2 linked regions of the Anolis sagrei genome follow. The protein of the gene in region 1 purifies or fractionates together with the protein of each later gene. This does not show direct contact. Links are inferred from orthologs where the notes say so. Each region holds a gene or a part of one and is shown in the gene's direction. Other genes may lie near its edges.

What was found. The genes of interacting proteins can lie anywhere in the genome.
Region 2: the proteins of ABCA1 (region 1) and NR1H2 purify together in Homo sapiens (affinity purification with western blotting; 3 studies listed by BioGRID and IntAct, with this or other methods). This does not show direct contact. The link is inferred for Anolis sagrei from reciprocal best matches to the Homo sapiens genes ABCA1 and NR1H2.

What each region holds. Positions count from the first base shown.
Region 1 is NC_090022.1:158,797,824-158,807,997, reverse strand, and holds the start of ABCA1 (phospholipid-transporting ATPase ABCA1), read left to right. Parts: upstream 1-6,184; 5' UTR 6,185-6,432; intron 6,433-10,174. UniProt on the Homo sapiens protein: Catalyzes the translocation of specific phospholipids from the cytoplasmic to the extracellular/lumenal leaflet of membrane coupled to the hydrolysis of ATP.
Region 2 is NC_090026.1:28,207,505-28,217,575, reverse strand, and holds the start of NR1H2 (oxysterols receptor LXR-beta), read left to right. Parts: upstream 1-5,271; 5' UTR 5,272-5,394; intron 5,395-9,046; 5' UTR 9,047-9,164; intron 9,165-10,071. UniProt on the Homo sapiens protein: Nuclear receptor that exhibits a ligand-dependent transcriptional activation activity. Binds preferentially to double-stranded oligonucleotide direct repeats having the consensus half-site sequence 5'-AGGTCA-3' and 4-nt spacing (DR-4).

The sequences.
Region 1 (10,174 bases):
AAGTCAAAGCAAATCAGCAAAAACAAATAAAGCAAATGATCATCTATCAGCACGTGGTGTTTTTTTCTCTTCACTTATTTTAATTTGGGGCATCATACGGGAGCCAAACCACTAAACCAGACTGGCTCTGGTTTGGGTGTTGGACTCCAACTCTGGAGATCAGGATTCAAATCCCTGCTGGGCCATGGAAACCCATTGGGTGACCTTGAGCAAGTCCCACACTCCCAGCCTTGGAGGCACAAATCTTGCCAAGGAAATCCTGTGATAGGTTTGCCTCAAGGTTACCATAAGTCAGAAGCAATGTGAAGGCACGCAACAACAAAATAGCAGAAGCAAAAGAGGGAGTTCGTGGCAGATTTTGTACAAAGGTTTTACTTAGTACATTTTTGACTGCACCATTAGCCATGTTTTTTGCACATGTGACTGTTCCTCAGAGAGACCTCTAATGTTCGGGCTACATTCTTTCAACCTGGTTTGACATAGGAGACCTGTGAATAATCTTTCGTACTTTTATATAGAGGTACTAGCTGTCCCCATCACGCGTTGCTGTGGCCCAGTCTGTTGATCTGGAAAATAAAGTAATGAGAAAGTCTTGGTTTCTAATATATGCAATGTCTTTATGCTTGTGGGTAAACAGTATTTCTTGCGGTTTCTTTGTCAGTGTTGATGTGGAGAGTGTCTGGTTTGCCCACCCTGGAACATGCAACATATCATTGTCCTTCTTTAAGGGTCCCTTTCAAATCTATGATACTATATCTGTGTGTGTGTGAATTCTATCTATCTATCTATCTATCTATCTATCTATCTATCTATCGATATCTATGGCTGGATGGCTCTTTGTCAGGAGGACTTTGATTACGTTTTCTTGCCTTGCTGAAGGGAGTTGGATTGGATGGCCTTAAGTATTTTCTGTTGGTTGTGGGGGTTCTGTGTGGGAAGTTTGCCCAGATTCTGTCATTCGTTGGGTTCAGAATGCTCTTTGATTGTAGGTGAACTGTGAATCCCAGTGACCACAACTCCCAAATGTCAAGGTCTATTTCCCCCAAACTTCATCTGTGTACATATTTGGGTGTATTGAGTATTCGTGTAGAGTTTGGTCCAGATCCATCATTGTTTGAGTCCGCAGTGCTCTCTGGATATAGGTGAACTACAACTCCCAAACTCAAGGCCAATGCCCACCAAACCCTTCCAGTATTTTCTGTTGGTCATGGGAGTTCTGTGTGCCAAATTTGATTCAATTCTATCATTGATGGAGTTCAGAATGCTCTTTGATTCTAGGTGAACTATAAATCCCAGCAACTACAACTCTCAAATGACAAAATCATAATTGTTTGAGTGATGGTCACTCCTTGTGTTGTGAGACATTTTGTTGCCAAATTTGGTGTGATTTCGTTCATTGGTTCTTTTGTTTTTAAGGTACTCATTAAGCACAGTGCATTTTTATATATAGAGAAGATATAGATTAACAGCAGCTGCAGCCCACGGGTAGTGGAGATACCTCTGTGTCATTTCCACAATTGTCCCACACACTTCACTTCCCTAAGCTGGCATTTGCCATATGGAGGGAAACACTGAGGCTCATATAGGGCAGGCATGGACAAACTTTGGCCCTCCAGGTGTTTTGGACTTCAACTCTCAGAAATCCCAGCCAACTTACCAGATGTTAGGAATTGTGGGAGTTGAAGTCCAAAACACCTGACGAGGCGAAGTTTGCCCTTGCTTGAGTTAGGGGAATAGGGTCTGTTTGACTCTCCACTGTTTATATTGGGTATTGTTGATTGGATTTGCAGATCGACGTCTGGAGAACCTAGTGTTGTGTAGGAAACTGTATGTTTTGCTCTGCAGGACAAATAAAAGATTGGAAGGACAATTCTGATCAGTTCCATTTCGTTTATTGCTCATAATGCTTAGGTCATCATGATGTTCATTTTCCTTATGTTGTAGCATGCTGACCTAAGCATTATGAACAAATCTTACCAAGAATACCCTGTGACAGGTTTTACTTAGGGCTGCCAAAGCTCACAAATAATTTGAATGCACATAACTGGTGACGCAGTGGATTAAACCGCTGAGCTGCTGAGTTTGTTGACAGAAAGGTCAAAGGTTGAAATCCAGGAAGCGCCTTGAGTTTCTGCTGTCAGCCCCAGCTTCTGCCAACCTAGCAGTTCGAAAACATGCAAATGTGAGTAGATCAATAGGTACTGCTCCAGTGGGAAGGTAACGGCACTCCATGCAGTCATTCGGGCCATATGACCTTGGAGGTGTCTACAGACAACGCCGGCTCTTGGTCAGTAGTAATTTAAAGCAGTTATTTATTTATTTTGAACATTTTTACCCCACCCTTCTCAACCCCTAGGGGGACTCAGGGCGGCTTCATTGCAGCATCATAAAATACAAAATAGAAAATTTAATAATTAAAAACATGAACATTAAGAAATAAAGATTAAACAGTATACTTATGATCCATTTAACTATTGCCAGTCTGGTGGCTATTTATTTAGCCATATACTAATGATTACTCTGCTTAACTTATCCAAATTCACTTCCAAGCCATAGTCAAACATTATCAATAGTCCTTTAACCTAATTGCCCAAAGGCCTGGTCCCACAACCATGTTTTTACCTTCTTTCTAAAGGTGAGGAGGGATGACGATGACCTAATTTTCCCAGGAAGCGAATTCCACAGGCGGGAGGCCACCATCGAGAAGGCCCTGTCCCTTGTCCCTGCCATATGTGTTTGAGACAAAGGCGGGGCCGAGAGCAGGGCCTCCCCAGAAAATCTTAAGCTCTGAGGTGGGACGTTGAAGGAGATACGTTCAGACAGGTATGCTGGACCAGAGCCGTATAGAGTTTTATAGGTCAAGACCAGCACTTTGAATTGTGCTCGGAATTGGATCGGCAGCCAATGGAGCGGACACCATGGGGGGTGGGTGGGTATGCTGCTTGTATGACGCTCCGGTGAGTAATCTAGCTGCCACCCTTTGGAATAATTGCAGTTTCTGAACAGTCTTCACGTAGAGTGCGTTGCAGTAATCTATCCGGGATGTGACAAGAGCATGGACCACTGTGGCCAGATCCAACTTCCCAAGGTACGGGTGCAGCTGGCGCACAAGTTTTAACTGTGCAAAAGCGATCCCAGCCACCACCGAGACCTGGGGTTCCAGGCTCAGCGATGAGTCCAGGATCACTCCCAAGCTGCGTACCTGTCTTCATGTGTAGTGTAACCTCATCCAACACAGGCGGTAACCCTATGCCCTGTTCGGCCTTACGACTGACCAGTAGGACCTCTGTCTTGTCTGGATTCAATTTCAATTGGTTAGCTCTCATCCGGCCCGACACAGCAACCAAACACCAGTTCAAGGTTCGGACAGCCTCCTTGGCTACTAACTAGCTGTGCCACAGATAGATAAATAGAAAGATATTGTGTGGATATGTCTGCATGTACCTTGGGAAGTTTGACTTGGCCACAGTGGGCCACACTCTTGTTACATCCCAATTAGACTACTGCAATGCGCTCTACATGGGGCTGACTTTGAAGACTGCCCGGACACTTCAACTAGTCCAACAGTTGGCAGCCAGGTTGCACACCAGAGTGGCGTACAGGGAGTATACAACTCCTATTACACCAGCTCCACTGGCTGCTGATCCGCTATCGAGCACAATTCAAAGTGCTGGTTGTAACCTTTAAAGCTCTAAACGGTTCTGGCCCAGACTATATGTCCGAATGTATCTCCTGCTACGAATCATCATGAAGTTTAAGATCATCTGGAGAGGCCCTGCTCTTGATCCCACCGCCGTCGCAAATGCTATTGGTGGAGACGAGAGAGGGCCTTCTCAACAGTGGCCCCCATCTGTGGAATTTCCTCCCCAAAGACATCAGACTGGCCACCTCCCTCCTGCCTTTAGAAGGAAACTTAAGACTTGGCTGTGGGATCTTGCATTTGACCATTGAACAGCGGCTTGTATGAAGAAGACATAAGCAATTTCGAAGTGACAATGAATTGACCTGAATCCGGATTTTTATTGGCGTGTTTTAACAACTGTTTCTTTAATGTTTTGTTTTAATGAATTGGTTGATTGTTTTTATCATTATAAGGGCACAGAATGGTGTTTGCTTTGAGGCCGCCCAGGGGTGAGAAGGGTGGGGTACAAGTATATGAAATAAATAAATACATACATGTATATCTATGTATATATTTATGCTTATAAGACTTTTTACTGTTAGCCCCAGGTTCTGCCAACCTAGCAGTTTGAAAACATGCAAATGTGAGTAGAGAGGCGGCCCTAGGTAATTTTCAATGGTAAGCAAACAGTATCCCCCCCCCCCCCCAACCAATCATTGATATATATTTTCTGTTCGTCGTGGGAGTTCTGTGTACCATATTTGGTTCAGTTCCATCATTGGTGGAGTTCAGAATGCTCTTTGATTGTAGATGAACTATACATCCCAGTAACTACACTTGCCACACTTGCTCCCTTGCCTGGCCCGCTTTGGATCCAGAGGCGTGCCTGAAGACCCCGGCGTGTGCACCAAAAGTCACCTCTTCTCCTGACTTTCTCCTCAGCCATTGGGACCGAGAGAGAGAGAGAGAGAGACAGAGGTGGAGATGCCCACCTTTCCTGAAGATAGGTGCAAAAACAAAGGAGGGAGCGGAGGTAGGAGACACCTCCAGCTGGAGGGTCTCTCTCTTTCTCTCTCTCTCTTGGTCCCAATGGCTGAAGAGAAAGTCAGGAGAAGAGGTGACTTTTGGTGCGCATGCTGGGGTCTTCAGACATGCCTCTGGACCCGAAGTGGGCCAGGCGCGACGGCTCCGCCCCTTGGCCCACCCGCAGATTGGGGAAAGGAGAGGAGGCGGGTGGAGCCGGTCATGGAAGCTTTTAAGCAGAGGCTGGATGGCCATTTGTCAGGGGTGATTTGAATGCAATATTCCTGCTTCTTGGCAGGGGGTTGGACTGGATGGCCCATGAGGTCTCTTCCAACTCTTTGATTCTATGATTCTATGATTCTATGGGAGCCGGTCATGAGAGCCGGTCATGAGAGCCGGTCATGGGGAAGGGATCGAACGCAGAGAACGATTGAGCACAGGCTCTGCTCGCGCACCCGGTGGCCGGGTGGAGCAGGAACAAGAGGCGCTAGGCGAGGCTCAAGGGTCTGGCCCCTTTGGGAAGAGGATCACCCGGCAGCGAGGCAAGAAAGCCAAGGCGCCCCCCGGACTGCTAGGGCTGTTGTGAGCTGAGGGGGTGCTCCTCAAGTGGCGGTCGAGGGGCATTTACAGAGGTTCCTCTGCGCCCCTGGCAAAAAAAAGTGTTCTGCGACCGCTTACTTCGCGTAATGGACGAGCCAGCCCTGAATAGATCAATAAGTACTGCTCCAGTGCAGGCATGTAGCTGGGGGGGGGGGGGGGGGGCTTGAGGGGCTTCAGCCCCTCCCCTGAAATTCTCATGGTGGTTCACGAAAAGGCCTTACTGTTTAAACTGTTATGTTTATTCATATCATGATCTGATCACCATACTCAATATTTCCCATATGCATGGGGATATTGGGGTAACAATATAAAACGTTTGCTAGGGTAGACCCTCTTTTACGCAGACTCAGCCCCCCCCCCCCCCCCCCCCAAACAAACTCAGCCCTTGAATCGAAATCCTGGCTACGGGCCTGCTCCAGTGGGAAGGTAACAGTGCTCTATGCAGTCATGCCAGCCACATGACCTTGAAGGGTCTGCGGACAACGCCAGCTCTTCGGCTTAGAAATGGAGATGAGCACCACACCCAGAGTCGGACATGACCGGACTTCACGTCAGGGGAAAACGTTTACCTTTTATAAGACTTTCAAACCAGGAACAGAAAAAAAAATCAAATTTTGTTACATAGTGCTATAGATTGAGGTCTGGGAAGTGGAGCTGCAATCCCCACTCAGCCTTGGGAACCTACTGGGTGATCTTGGGCGAGTCACACTCTCTCAGCCTCAGAGGAAAGCAGTGGCCATACCCCATCTTAAGAAATCCTGGGGTAGGTTCGTTTGGGGGTTCCCCATGGGTGAGAAAGGGCTTGGAGTTCCCCAATGACAACAAGAACAGCAGCAGAGATTGGTGGGGGCTCTCTACTCCCCCCCCCCAAATGTACGCGTCCCCTTTAAGAGGCGGTCCCAGCCCTCCACGTGCCGCGGCTGAGTGACGGCCACACATAAACAGAGCGGCAGAAAGGAAGCCGCGCTTGACCGATAATAACCTCCTCGGCGCAGCGCCGGCGGGATCTATATAAGGCGCTCCGGGTCCGGGACTGGCCCTGGTTTGGCCCCAGCCGCGTCGGTGGGAGCCACAAAGGAAGCCGGAGGAGCCCCCGATCGAGTGGCTCCCCGATCTACTCCGGGAGGTCTTTCCAATTCCTGGCCGGAGGGAGAGAAAAATCGCCTCCCCATCAAACTGGCGAGGAGGTAATCATAACAACAACAACAACAACAGGGTGGAGGGGGGCAAACTTGGGGAGGAGAGTCAGAAGGGGGTTATTTCTTCTCACCCTCTTTGTCCCACGGGTGGATCTTTGTGTACTGAGAACAAAAAGAGACCAGAGGATGTCTGAGCGTGTGCAGAGTGCTTTCTCCTGCCTGCCCCGTCAATTGTTTGTCTTCTTAGCTCCAGGCAAGGAAATGTGGGGGAATTGAGTCGTTGGCAAGGTGTCCCAAGGCTTTTCTGACCCAATTTGGGGTCATCGGGATTCGAACCCGGGGTCAAGAGTGGCTTGAGACCCAAAGTTGGGGGGTTTGTTTGGATGGGAGTTACTGGAAAGGCGGAGGAGGGGAAAACACACTCCTTTGTCCTTTCTGGCTTGGAAAGGACAAAGAAGAAGAAGGCGGTGATGGGTTAGGAAAGGGAACGTTTGGGGAGCTGTCCCAGCCCCACAGCTCAATCCTATGGGAATCCTATAGTTCTGCATCACCTTTAGCCTTCTCTGCCCAACTCCCAGGGACAATTCCTAGGCTACAACTCCCAGGAACCCAATAGCATTGAGTCTTGGCAATGAAAAAGTGGGGTCAAACTGCCCTGGTTTTCTAGTGGAGATGGAGCAATCGCTCACCAAAGGAAAAGCACACATCCCTCAGGACTCTCGTTGTCCAGCTTCCCCCAAATGTCTCTATGGTGTTGGTGTACCCACAAGCTTCATTGACATTGAACTTTGAAGATTGGGCATGTAAAAGAAAGGGAAGAAAGACATACAGGAAGTATTGAGACACAAAGCAGAGGAAAGCTGCTTTTGTTCTTTTTCTCTCTCACACACTTTTCTTTCTCTCTCTCATACACACACATTTTCCTTCCTTCCTCTCTCTACTCCTTCCTTCCTTCCTTCCTTCCTTCCTTCCTTCCTTCCTTCCTTCCTTCCTTCCTCTGTACACAGTTTTCTTCCTTTCCTTCCTTCCTTCCTTCCTTTCTTCCTTCCTTCCTTCCTCTCTCTCTCTGTCTCTCAAAAACACTTTCCTTCCTTCCTTCCTTCCTTCCTTCCTTCCTTCCTCTCTCACACATTGTTCCCTTTCTTCCTTTCTCTCACACCTTTTCTCTCTCTCTCTCTCTCTCTCACACACACACACACAACCTTTTATTCTTTTCTTCCTTCCTTCCTTCCTTCCTTCCTTCCTTCCTTCCTTCCTTCCTCTCTCACACACTTCTCTCTCTCTCACACACATAGTTTCCTTCCTTCCTTCCTCTTTACACACTTTTCTTGCTTTTCTTCCTACCTTCTTTTCTCTCACACACTTTCTCTCTCTCTCACACACACACACACATCCCTTCCTTCCTTCCTCTCACACACTTTTCTTCCTTCCTACCTTTCTCTCACACACTTTTCTTCCTTTCTCTCTCTCTCACACACTCACTTTTCTCTCTCTCTCTCTCACACACACTTTCCTTCTTTCCTTCCTTTCTTCTTCTCTCACACATTGTTCTCTTCCTTTCCTTCCTTTCTCTCACACACTTTTCTTCCTTTCTCTCACACACTTCTCTCCCTCTCTCGCACACTCACTCACTTTTCTTCCTTCCTTCCTTCCTCTCTCACACATTCATCCTTCCTTCCTTCCGTCCGTCCTCTCTCACACACACTTTTCTTTCCTTCCTTCCTTCCTTCCTTCCTTCCTTCCTTCCTTCCTTCCTTCCTTCCTTCTGTCCTCTCTCACACACACTTTTTTCCCTTCCTTCCTTCTTTCTGTCTTTCACACACTTTTCTTTCTTTTCTTCCTTCCATCCTTTCTCTCACACACACTTTTCTTTTCTTCCCTCCTCCCTCTTTCCTTCCTTCCTCACACACTTTTTCGTCCTTCCTTCCTTCTTTCCTTCCTTCTTTCTTCCTCTCTCTCTCACACACATACACACACACACTTTTCTAATAATCACCACCACCATCATCATCACTATCATCTTTATTTGTTTCCTGCCCCATCTCCCCAAGGGGACTCAGAGTAGCTCAAAACAACCCAAACAATAAACAGTAATAAGATTAACAATCTCTTTAAAATTAGATCGGCAAAATAACAATACAAAATCAATATGGAAGTAAAAGAAGACATATTAAATATGGTATTATTATGTTATCAGTATATAAAGCATCACCCTTCCTTTCTCTCACACACTTGTCTTCCTTTCTCTCTGTCACACACTTTTCTTTCTTTCTTTCTTTCTTTCTCTTTCTCTCACAAATACTTTTTTCCTCTGCTGCTGCTGCTTTCTCGGAAAGTGCCTCCAGTTGGGGCTGCTGAGACGAGGCGCAAGATGTACTGACAGAGAAAAAGGCACAAGACAAAAAACAAACCCACACAGCTCCAAGTTGCACGAAATGACCGAGAGTAACCCCGGCTTGGAAGGAGAGCTTAATGAAAGCCAGCAGCCGGGCAAATGCCTGTATGCCTGTCTGTGGAGGTCTTTGCCAGGCTAGGGCTTTACTTTAAGCTGCATGTATGCAAGCAAAGCCACCTCTGGCTAGTCCTTGCCTAAGAAAACCCTCGGAAATCCACAGGGTCACCGTAAGGTGATTTGAAGGTGTACAAACACACATGTATGTGCAGTCAGGCTTCCATATGTGTAATGTTATACAGTGGGGTGTCCTGGAACCAAATTCCAGCAGACACCAAAGATACATTGGGTTGCTGTGAGTTTTCTGGGCTGTATGGCCATGTTCCAGAAGCATTCCCTCCTGACATTTTGCCCACATCTATGGCAGGCATTCTCAGAGGTTGTGAGGTCTGTTAGAGACTAGGTAAGTGGGGTTTATATATCTGTGGAATGTCCAGGGTGAGAGAATGAACTCTTGTCTGCTTGAGGCAAGTGTGAATGTTGCAATTGGCTGACTTGATTAGCATTGAATGGCCTTGCAGCTTCAAAGCCTGGCTGCTTCCTGTCCAGGGGAATCCTTTGTTGGGTGGTGTTAGTTGGTTTTGATTGTTTCCTGTCTGGAATTCCACTGTTTTCTGAGTGTTGTTCTTTATTTACTGTTTTGATTTTAGAGTTTTTGAATATGGCCATACAGCCTGGAAAATGTATTGTCGAAGGCTTTCATGGCCAGAATCACTGGGTTGTTGTAGGTTTTTTCGGGCTATATGGCCATGTTCTAGAGGCATTTTCTCCTGTCGTTTTGCGTGCTTCTATGGCAAGCATCCTCAGAGGTAGTGAGATCTGTTGAAACTACGAAAATGGGTTTATATATGACCAGGGTGGGACAAGCAGACAAGAGTCCTTTGTCCCACCCTGGTCATTCCACAGATATATAAATCCATTTTCCTAAATCCAACACACCTCACTACCTCTGAGGATGCTTGCCATAGATGCAGGCGAAACATCAGGAGAAAATGCCTCTAGAACATGGCCACATAGCCCGAAAAGACCTACAACAACCCAGTCTGGATAACTCACAGTAACCCAATGATTCCGGCCATGAAAGCCTTTGACAACACAAGGACAACATTGTATTCAGTGACTAAAATATCCTAAAGGCACCCAATCCTGGAACCAAATTTCAGGAAAAAACCAAGGGCCCATTGTATGTTTGTTAGGGAGAAAATAATAACATTATGTAACGAAATTTGAATTTTTTTCTGTTCCTGGTTTGAAAGTGTTATTTCCTGTTTAATTGTGTGGCACTTACTTTAAAAGTAGTTGTTATCCCCCCAAAACTTCATTTTTGTGGCTGCCACA
Region 2 (10,071 bases), on another chromosome or scaffold:
CACGCACCTCTTTTTTTTGCTAGCTATCTCTGCTTTAGTTGCAATCTCTCTTGATTGACTGCCTCTCTCTCGAGAGAGAGAGAGAAGGGTGAAACTCCCTTCCACACTCCATTGTTGCCAGAAGGCGGGATTAGAACGCTGCTCTGGGCAACAGAAACCATTCATAAATTGGGAGGCAAAAACCCGTGAAACAGCAAGTACGTGAAAAACGAACTGCGAAGTAGTGAGAGAACACTGTAATTGGTAGTATATGCCAGTCAAGTTCTGAGCACAATTCAAATTGTTGGTCTTGGCCTATAAAGCCCTATAAGGCTCCGGCCCAGCTTACTTGTCCAAACATATCTCCCTCTACGTTCCACCCCATAGTTTAAGATCCACCGGGGAGGCCCTGCTCTCGGTCCCACCAGCCTCGCAAATGCGTCTGGTGGGGATGAGGAACAGGGCCTTTTCGGTGGTGACCCCTCACTTGTGGAATTCGCTCCCCAGCGAGATTAGATCAGCGTCCTCCTTCCTTTCCTTCAGGAAACAATTAAAATCGTGGTTTCAGAACCAGGCTTTTGGCTAGCAGGCACAACGGCACTTTGGACACTGAACTGGACCATATGATTGTTATGATAATGCAAATGGCCACATGACTGTATAAGTAATGTTATTGTTTTTAATCTATTGTGTATTTATGGTTTTATATTGTGATATTGCGGCATCGAATTGTTGCCAGTGTCAGTCGCTCGGAGTCCCCCCCCCCCCTCAGTTGTTGAGAAGGGCGAGGTAAACATGTTGCAAATATTTAAATTTACATAATAATAAAATCCAGGTAAATACGTTATTTGTGCCGCAAAAATGGCAAACCTTTACAGTAACAAAACCAACACATTTTACAAAGATCAGGAAATAACATACAGGTAAAAATGGCATACAGATAAAAACAGGTGAAACAGAAATACATGGCTATAGCCCAGGTATGGGCAAACTTGGGCCCTCCAGGTGTTTTGGACTTCAACTCCCACAATTCCTAACAGCCTACCGGCTGTTAGGAATTGTGGGAGTTGAAGTCCAAAACACCTGGAGGGCCCAAGTTTGCCCATACCTGGGCTATATCCCCTGGATTACTACTTTCACCCTTTTTTACTCTCTCTATATTTTCCCATTCATTTACTTTTCCAAGGATGTCTCCCTCTAACTCCAAAAAACTCACCCTTTTGGGGATGATGAATGGATGAAATTAGATTCCCATCATTTTACAGACCAGTCTTCACTCTCCTCTTTCAATCCTAGTTAGTCCCCAACCAGGAAAGAATCACAGCGACTCACCTGAAACTTTTAAAACTCCTCCAAAGAAATTCGAAACTCCAATGTCACGTCTGCGCATGCGTCACTCACTCTCTGCTGCCGGCGGCAGTTTCATTTCCTCCTTCGTCGGAGGGGGAATAAAGGGGCGTGGCTTCGATTAGGCCCCGCCCCTGTGTTATTAAACTGGATCAACCCTATTGAAAGAATGCAGATTGACACTTCTTTTGCCCAATGAGAAGGGATTGTGTGAGTTATAGTTTTACAAGATCTTTATTTTGCCATAGAGGCAAATAAATATATTGTATACACATATAATATTAATACTAATAATACTAATACTAATAATAATACAATATAATAATTATATATTTAATATTACATGTATTATTACTAATAATGTTACAGTATACTGGTATAGTTGTTGTTGTTGTTGTTCATTCGTTCAGTCGTCTCCGACTCTTCGTGACCTCATGGACCAGCCTACGCCAGATCTCCCTGTCGGCCGTTACCACCCCCAGCTCCCTCAAGGTCAGTCCAGTCACTTCAAGGATGCCATCCATCCATCTTGCCCTTGGTCGGCCCCTCTTCCTTTTGCCTTCCACTTTCCCCAGCATCATTGTCTTCTCTAGGCTTTCCTGTCTCCTCATGATGTGGCCAAAGTACTTCAACTTTGTCTCTAGTATCTTTCCCTCCAGTGAGCAGTCAGGCTTTATTTCCTGGAGGATGAACTGGTTGGATCTTCTCGCAGTCCAAGGGACTCTCAGCACTTTCCTCCAACACCACAGCTCAAAAGCATCGATCTTCCTTCGCTCAGCCTTCCCTAAGGTCCAGCTCTCACATCCGTAGGTTACTACAGGGAATACCATGGCTTTGAGTAGGCGGATCTTTGTTGCCAGTCTGATGTCTCTACTCTTCACTATTTTATCGAGACTGAACATTGCTCTCCTCCCAAGAAGTAAGCGTCTTCTGATTTCCTGGCTACAGTCTGCGTCTGCAGTAATCTTTGCACCTAGAAATACAAAGTCTGTCACGGCCTCCACGGTACTGGTATAGTACAATATGGGAATGTATGTTACTAATATTGTGCTAAGCTAATAATATAATATATTGTATTTACATATAACTTGTAAGCAGCTCTGATTATAATATTATACTATTATATATATAATATTATAATTATAAGAATTACATATATAATATATAAAAATAGATTATAATATATTATTATAATATTATATATTTAATATTATAATTATAATAATTCTATATTTAATATTACATGTAATATTACTAATAATATTACAGTGTACTGGTATAGTACAATATGGGAATGTATGTTACTAATATTGCACTATGCTAATAATATAATATAATATATTGTATTTACATATAACTTGTAAGCCACTCTGATTATAATATTATAATATTATATATTTAATATTATAAGCAAAATAGTCAGTGCAATGAATGTAATGAACATAGGAATGGAACAATGGATAACGGATCTGGATCATGTTTTTAGTGATGAGACGCTAGTGAATGGCTATTGGTGTTAATTGTATACTGTTGTTAATTGTATACTTTTCTATAATATGTTATGATGTTAACTGTTTTTTATACCGTGTGATGGTAGCATTGAATTTTTGCTGTTTTTGTTGTTAACCGTTGTGAGTCGCCTAAGGGCTGAGAACAGCGGTATACAAATAATATATATATATATATATATATATTACATGTAATATTACTAATAATGTTACTGGTATAGTACAATAGAGGCAAATTAATATATTGTACAATATAAATTAATATATAGTACAATAAATTAATATATAGTACAATAGAGGTAAATTAATAAATTGTATACACATATAATACTGATACTGATATTAATAATATATTATAATTATAATAATTATATATTTAATATTATAATTTTATATATTTAACATTATAATTATAATAATTATATATTTAATATTACATGTAATATTACTAATAATGTTACTGGTATAGTACAATAGAGGCAAATTAATATATTGTACAATATAAATTAATATATAGTACAATAAATTAATATATAGTACAATAGAGGCAAATTAATATATTGTATACAACATATAATATTGATACTAATACTAATAATATTAATATATTATAATTATATATTTAATATTATAATATTATATATTTAATATTATAATTATAATTATTATATATTTAATATTACATGTTATATTACTAATAATGTTACAGTATACTGGTATAGTACAATATGGGAATGTATGTTAATAATATTGTTCTATGCTAATAATATAATATATTGTATTTACATATAACTTGTAAGCCGCTCTGAGTTCCCTTTGGGGTGAGAAGGGCGGCATATAAATGTCAGAAAATAAATAAATAACCTGCAACCCCCATGATTCCATACCATTAAGCCAAGTGGTGTCAAGCTGCATTAATTCCACAATGTAGATGCACTCAAGGGCAGTGTGAAGCTGAGCATTCATGGGCCACTTCCTCCAAATGCAGTGTTTTTCAAACACTGGTCTTCCCAATGTTTTGGACTTCATCCCCCAGAATTCCTAGCCCTTGGCCAAGCTGGCTGGGGCTTATGGGAGTTGAAGTCCAAAAAAACAAACACCTAGAGACCTAGAAAGTGGGGGTCAATGGCACAAAGGTCTCTGATGTCCTCTGATCTTGGCAGCTAAGCAGGGTCAGCCCTGGTTAGTATTTGGATAGGAGACAGCCAACAACACCGTGTAGGATATAGTTCAGGCTCCTTCTACATTGCCATATAAAATCCAGATTATCTTTGAACTGGATTATATAGCAGTGTAGAAAGGACCTTAGGGGCTATCACTTTGGATGCATCTGCACTGTAGAATTTAATGCAGCTTGACACCACTTTAACCATTATGGCTAAATGCATCCTTATCCTGGGAGTTGTGTATTTTGGTGATCTCTGACCCCATCTATACTGCCATATAATGCACTTTTAAAGATTATCTGACAGTGTGGACTAATATAATCCAGGTTAAAGCAGAAAACCTGGAATCAGATCCTGGGATACAGGGCCTGTCTAGAAGGGCCCTGGCAGTAAAATGCAGTTCCAAACTGCATTATATCCCAATGGTGCCCAAACCGCTGTCGTTGGTCTTTAAGGGGGTGCATCCACACTGTTGACTTAATTCAGTTTGACTACTACTATGGCGAATACAGCGAGTTGGAGTTTTCCCAAGGGCTTTAGACCTCCCTCTGCCAAAGAGTGCCAATGCCCCGCCAAACTACAACTCCCAGGGTGCATCCACACTGTTGACTTAATTCAGTTTGATACCGCTGGAGCTGCTATGGCGAATCCAAGGAGATGTCGTTCCCCAAAGGCCTTTAGACTATCACCCTTCCTTCTGCCAAAGAGTGCCAATACCTCGCCAAACTACAACTCCCAGGGTGCATCCACACTATTGACTTAATTCAGTTTGACACCGCTTGAACTGCTATGGAGAATCCAGCGAGTTGGAGTTTTCCAAAGGCCTTTAGACCTCTCTGCAAGAGTTACGTTGCCTCGGCAAACTACAACTCCCAGGGTGCATCCACACTGTTGTCTTAATTCAGTTTGACACCGCTTGAACTGCTATGGCGAATCCAAGGAGATATCGTTTTCCAAAGGCCTTTAGACTCCTCTCTCAAAGAGTGCTAATGCCTGGCCAAACTACAACTCCCAGGGTGCATCCACACTGTTGACTTAATTCAGTTTAACACCGCTTGAGTTGCTATGGCGAATCCAAGGAGATGTCATTTTCTAAAGGCCTTTAGACTATCACCCCTCCCTCTGCCAAAGAGTGCTGATGCCTGGCCAAACTACAACTCCCAGGATCCACTGAGCCAGGGCCGTTCAAGCGGTGCTAATCTGCGTTGGCTCTGCAGTGTAGACGCGCGGCCGCCAGCGACGCCAACCCGGGGAGGCGCCGGCGACGAAGGGGAGGTTTTTCCCGGGCTGGAAAGGGAAGTGACGCCTGGCAAAGGGTTCCCGGAAGCGACTGGCTCCTGAATGCGAGGATGACCGTGTTTTCACTTTTTTGATGCAAGTTGCAGAGGAAACAGGTAAACAAGAGGAAAGGTAAACAGAGGTGGCGGGAGCAGGAAAAGGGAAGGGATCCGATCTGTGGGATCCGAGATCTTTACAGGCTGATCTCCCCCCAAAAGTGGGTATTTTATGCCCACCCCCACAATAATAATAATAATAATAATAATAATAATAATAATACAAAAACACCCGAGGAGGATCGCCATCTCCCCCTTGATTTGCAGCCTTTTGGGGATCCCAAACACTGTAGAAATAATGCAGTTTGTCCCCTCTTTGACTGCCATGGCTTAATGGGATTTGTAGTTCGCCAGAATTACAAAATCCCAGAATTCCATCGCGTTGGGACATAGCAGTTTCAAGTGTCAATCTAGTCTGGGCAAACTTGGGCCCTCTGGAAGTTTTGGACTCCAACTCCCACAATTCCTAACAGCCGGTTCCCACAATTCCTAACAGCCTACCGGCTGTTATCTGGCAGTGTGAACTAATGTAATCCGGTTTAAAGCAGAAAAACTGGAATCAGATCCTGGGATACAGGGCCTGTCTGGAAGGGCCCTGGCAGCAATTCCTACCGGCTGTTAGGAATTGTGGGAGTTGGAGTCCAAAACTTCCAGAGGGCCCAAATTTGCCCATGTTTGGTCTAAAGACAGCTTTGGAGAGGGATATGCACTTGGATGAAGCCTCTACACTCCAGGTGTTTTGGACTTCAACGCCCACAATTCCTAACAGCCGGTAGCTCCAGTGGGATTCATTCCCAGGTGATCCTCAAAGCTCGGGATGCTTGTCTGTTCTTGAGATGAAAGGCACATGTCTGTGTTTTAGATGGGTTAGGGATCAGCTGGTTTTCCCTGTAATAGGCAGTAAGAGCACCTAGAGCTTCCGAAAGCTTCCGAAGGTGAACTATAAATCCCAGCAACTACAACTCCCGAATGTCAAGATTCTATTTTCCCCAAACTCTACCAGTGTTCACATTTGGACATATTAAGTATTCATGTAGAGGTTGGTCCAGATTCATCATTGTTTGAGTCCACAGTGATCTCTGGATGTCGGTGAACTACAACTCCAAAACCAAAAGACACTGCCCACCAAATCCTTTGAGTATTTTCTGTTAGTCATAGGAGTTGTGTGTGCCAAGTTTGGTTCAATTCCATCGTTGGTAGGGTTCAGAATGCTCTTTGATTGTAGGTGAACTATAAATCTCTGCAACTACAACTCCCAAATGACAAAATCCATTTTTTTGAGTGAAGGACATACATTGGGTTGTTAGGTGTCTTGTGTCCAAATTTGGTGTCAATTCGTCCAGTGGTTTTTGAGTTCTGTTAATCTCACAAACGAACATTACATTTTTATTTATATAGATACTAGCTGTACCCGCTACACGTTGCTGTGGCCAACCTTCCCTCTTTCTCTCCTTCTTTCCCTCCTTCCTTCACTCCCTCTTTCCTTCCTTCCTTCCTTCCTTCCTTCCTTCCTTCCTTCCTGTCTTTCCTTTTCTTCTTCCTTCCTTCTCTATCTCTTTCCTTCCTTACCCCTTTTTCTTTCTCTTCTGCTGTCTCTCTTTTCTTCCTTCTCTCTTTCCTTCTTTCCTTCCCTCCCTCTTTCTCTACATCTTCCCCCCTTCTTTCGCTCCCTCTTTTCTTCCTTCTTTCCCTTTTATCTTTCCTTCTCTCCTTCCTTCTTTCTCTAACTTTCCTTCCTCCTCCCTTTTTCTTTCCCTCCCCCTTTCTCTCCTTTCTTCCTTCTCTACCTCTTTCCTTCCTTCTCTTTGCTTCCATGATTCCTTCTCCCTTTCCTTCTTTCTTTCCCTCCTTCTTCCTTTTTCTTTCTTTCTTTTTTTCCCCCCTTCCCTCCCTCTTTCTTCCCTTTTTTACTGTCATTTAGCTTTTTGGGGCTTTTTAAGTCCCTTCTGCTGTGTTTTTATGAGTGAAGGACATACATTGGGTTGTTAGGTGTCTTGTGTCCAAATTTGGTGTCAATTCGTCCAGTGGTTTTTGAGTTCTGTTAATCCCACAAACGAACATTACATTTTTATTTATATAGATTTATATGCCACCTTTCTCATCCGGGGGGAGGGGGGGCGACTCAATACATGTAGACAGAAAAAAAAATCATAATAACCAAACACCAACATATAACTTTAAATTTAAAATAATTTAATAATAATAATAATAATGAAATCTAGTATATATATCTTGTTTGCTGTGACATACTGCATTTTTGTGTCAATAATAATAATAATAACAATAATAATAATTTTATTTATAGACTGTACTATCTCCCCGAAGGGACACAGGGCAGTTTTCAACAAATATGGCAAACATTCAGCGCCAAAAGGAAAACCATACAAACAATTTACAAGACAAAGCAAATTAGACAACATAGAACAACCAGCTATAACTTAATAAACAAAATAACAAACAAAAAAATCATAAAATACAAAAACCTGATAAAATACACTAAAAATAAAAATATAAAACCAACTTCATTCGGGCTTCATTAGGAGAGATTGAACAATAGCAATGGCCTGGAGTACAAAAATAGACATAATCGGGTAGAAAAGGGCTGGTTGAGGGTTAATGCAAACAACGTGTCATAGGGCCGGGGAAGTGGATGAAGTGCTAAACAGAGTACCATCTAGCAACCTAAGGACTGGGACTAGGGACTAGTTGTTCTCAACAGCTTGCTGGATCATCCAGGTTGTCAGTTCCTTCCAAAAGGAGGACAGTGTGGGGGCTTGCCTAAAACCATTAAACACGAGACATAAAGAACATTTAAGCATTAAAAACATCCTAGTATAAGTATTGCAGTAGAGTCTCGCATATCCAACATAAACAGGCCAGCAGAACGTTGGATAAGCGAAAATGTTGGATTTTTTTTTGTTGTGTCAGGAGCGACTTGAGAAACTGCAAGTCGCTTCTGGTGTGAGAGAATTGGCCGTCTGCAAGGACGTTGCCCAGGGGACGCCCGGATGAATTGATGTTTTTATCATCCTTGTGGGAGGCTTCTCTCATGTCCCCGCATGAGGAGCTGGAGCTGATAGAGGGAGCTTATCCGCCTCTCCCTGGATTCAAACCTGCGACCTGTCGGTCTTCAGTCCTGCTGGCTCAGGAGTTTAACCCACTGCGCCACCAGGGGCTCTGGTGTTGGATAGTAAGGAGGGATTAAGGAAAGGCCTGTTAAACGTCAATTGAAGTTATGATTTTACAAATTAAGCACAAAAACATCATGTTTTACAACAAATTGACAGAAAAAGAAGTTCACTATACGGTAAAGTTATGTAGTAATTACTGTATTTACAAATTTAGCACCAAAACATTGCAATGCTTTGAAACAGCTGTAGATCCGGGCGGAAGGCAGAACGCTGGATGAGCGAACGTTGGATAAGCGAGTACTGTAAAATCACATAATCCAAAACTCATACACTGTGGTCATTCCAAGTTGTGCCGGAAGACCTAGACATTCTTACAGAGGTGTTCTCTCAAGTTAAAAAATAGCTATTTATTTATTCATTTTTTAAAAACTTTTATTGGAGTTTAATCTCATTAAATATGTTGAAGAAATTGATATCACCTATTTCTGGGATTAGTGTCCAGCCATTATATGTATAAAGCCTGATGATATAGTAGACAACAGGGTGCCATTTGTTGACATTGGCTCATCTCTCCCTTTCAGGTTGTATCCTGTACATAGTTTGCACGCCTGCTACACTGCCATGTTACTTCCTCTGCCCCATAAATCTTGTGATGTGATTGTCAACTAGCTGCGTCTCTTCCCCACGGTGGGGAGAAAGGTGAGACGGTATTTGAGGAGAATTGCCTTTCTTCTACATTTTCACCAAATTAATTGATCAAAAAGCGGAGGCGGGAGAAGCGGTGTATAAAAAAGGGGCAATGGAAAAACATGTAGGGAAGGGGTAATAGGGAGAAGGAAAAGAGAGAGCTCTGTGGGGCAAGGGAAAGGGAATGGAACTCACCTGGGTTGTCCTTTGCCACTGCGAAAGCTGGTGACGGCACTTTGGAGAGCCCCTGTTCATTGCCAATGCTTTGCTGACCTCAACAAAGATGCCCTAGTGACCTGGGGAAATGAGGGCAATCACCAGCTATAATCCCATGCTAAAACAAATAAGGCTATAGGTCTATCTGTTTGGCCACTAAAACCAGTCCCAAATTTACCATTGTGCTTATCTATTTTCACTTTGAAATTTACCAGTAGCTTCTGCGTTTCCCACCCTCGGCTTATACTCGAGTCAATATGTTTTCCCAATTTTCTGTGATAAAATGTATCTCAGCTTATATCCGTGCTGGCTTATACTCAAGTATGAACGATATTATTATTTAAAACACAACAAGGCAAGATCACTTTGCTGGCTGTTGTGTTGAATCACATGTCAGACACTTCCCAAGTGTCTAGGACTGTGTGATGTATCGGTGAATAATACATGCAGATCCCAGTAAGGTGGCCTTTTGCAGCTGGCAGATGGTAATTTTGTCAGCTCCGATTGTGTTTAAGTGCAGGCCAAGGTCTTTAGGCACTGCAGCCAGTGCCTAAAGACGATCACCACTGGGACCACCTTGACTGGCTTGTGCCAGAGTCTTTGCAGTTCGATCTTTAAATCCTCACATTGTGTCAGCTTTTCCAGTTGTTTCTCTTCAATCCTACTGTCACCTGGGATTGCAGCATCGATGATCCATACTTTG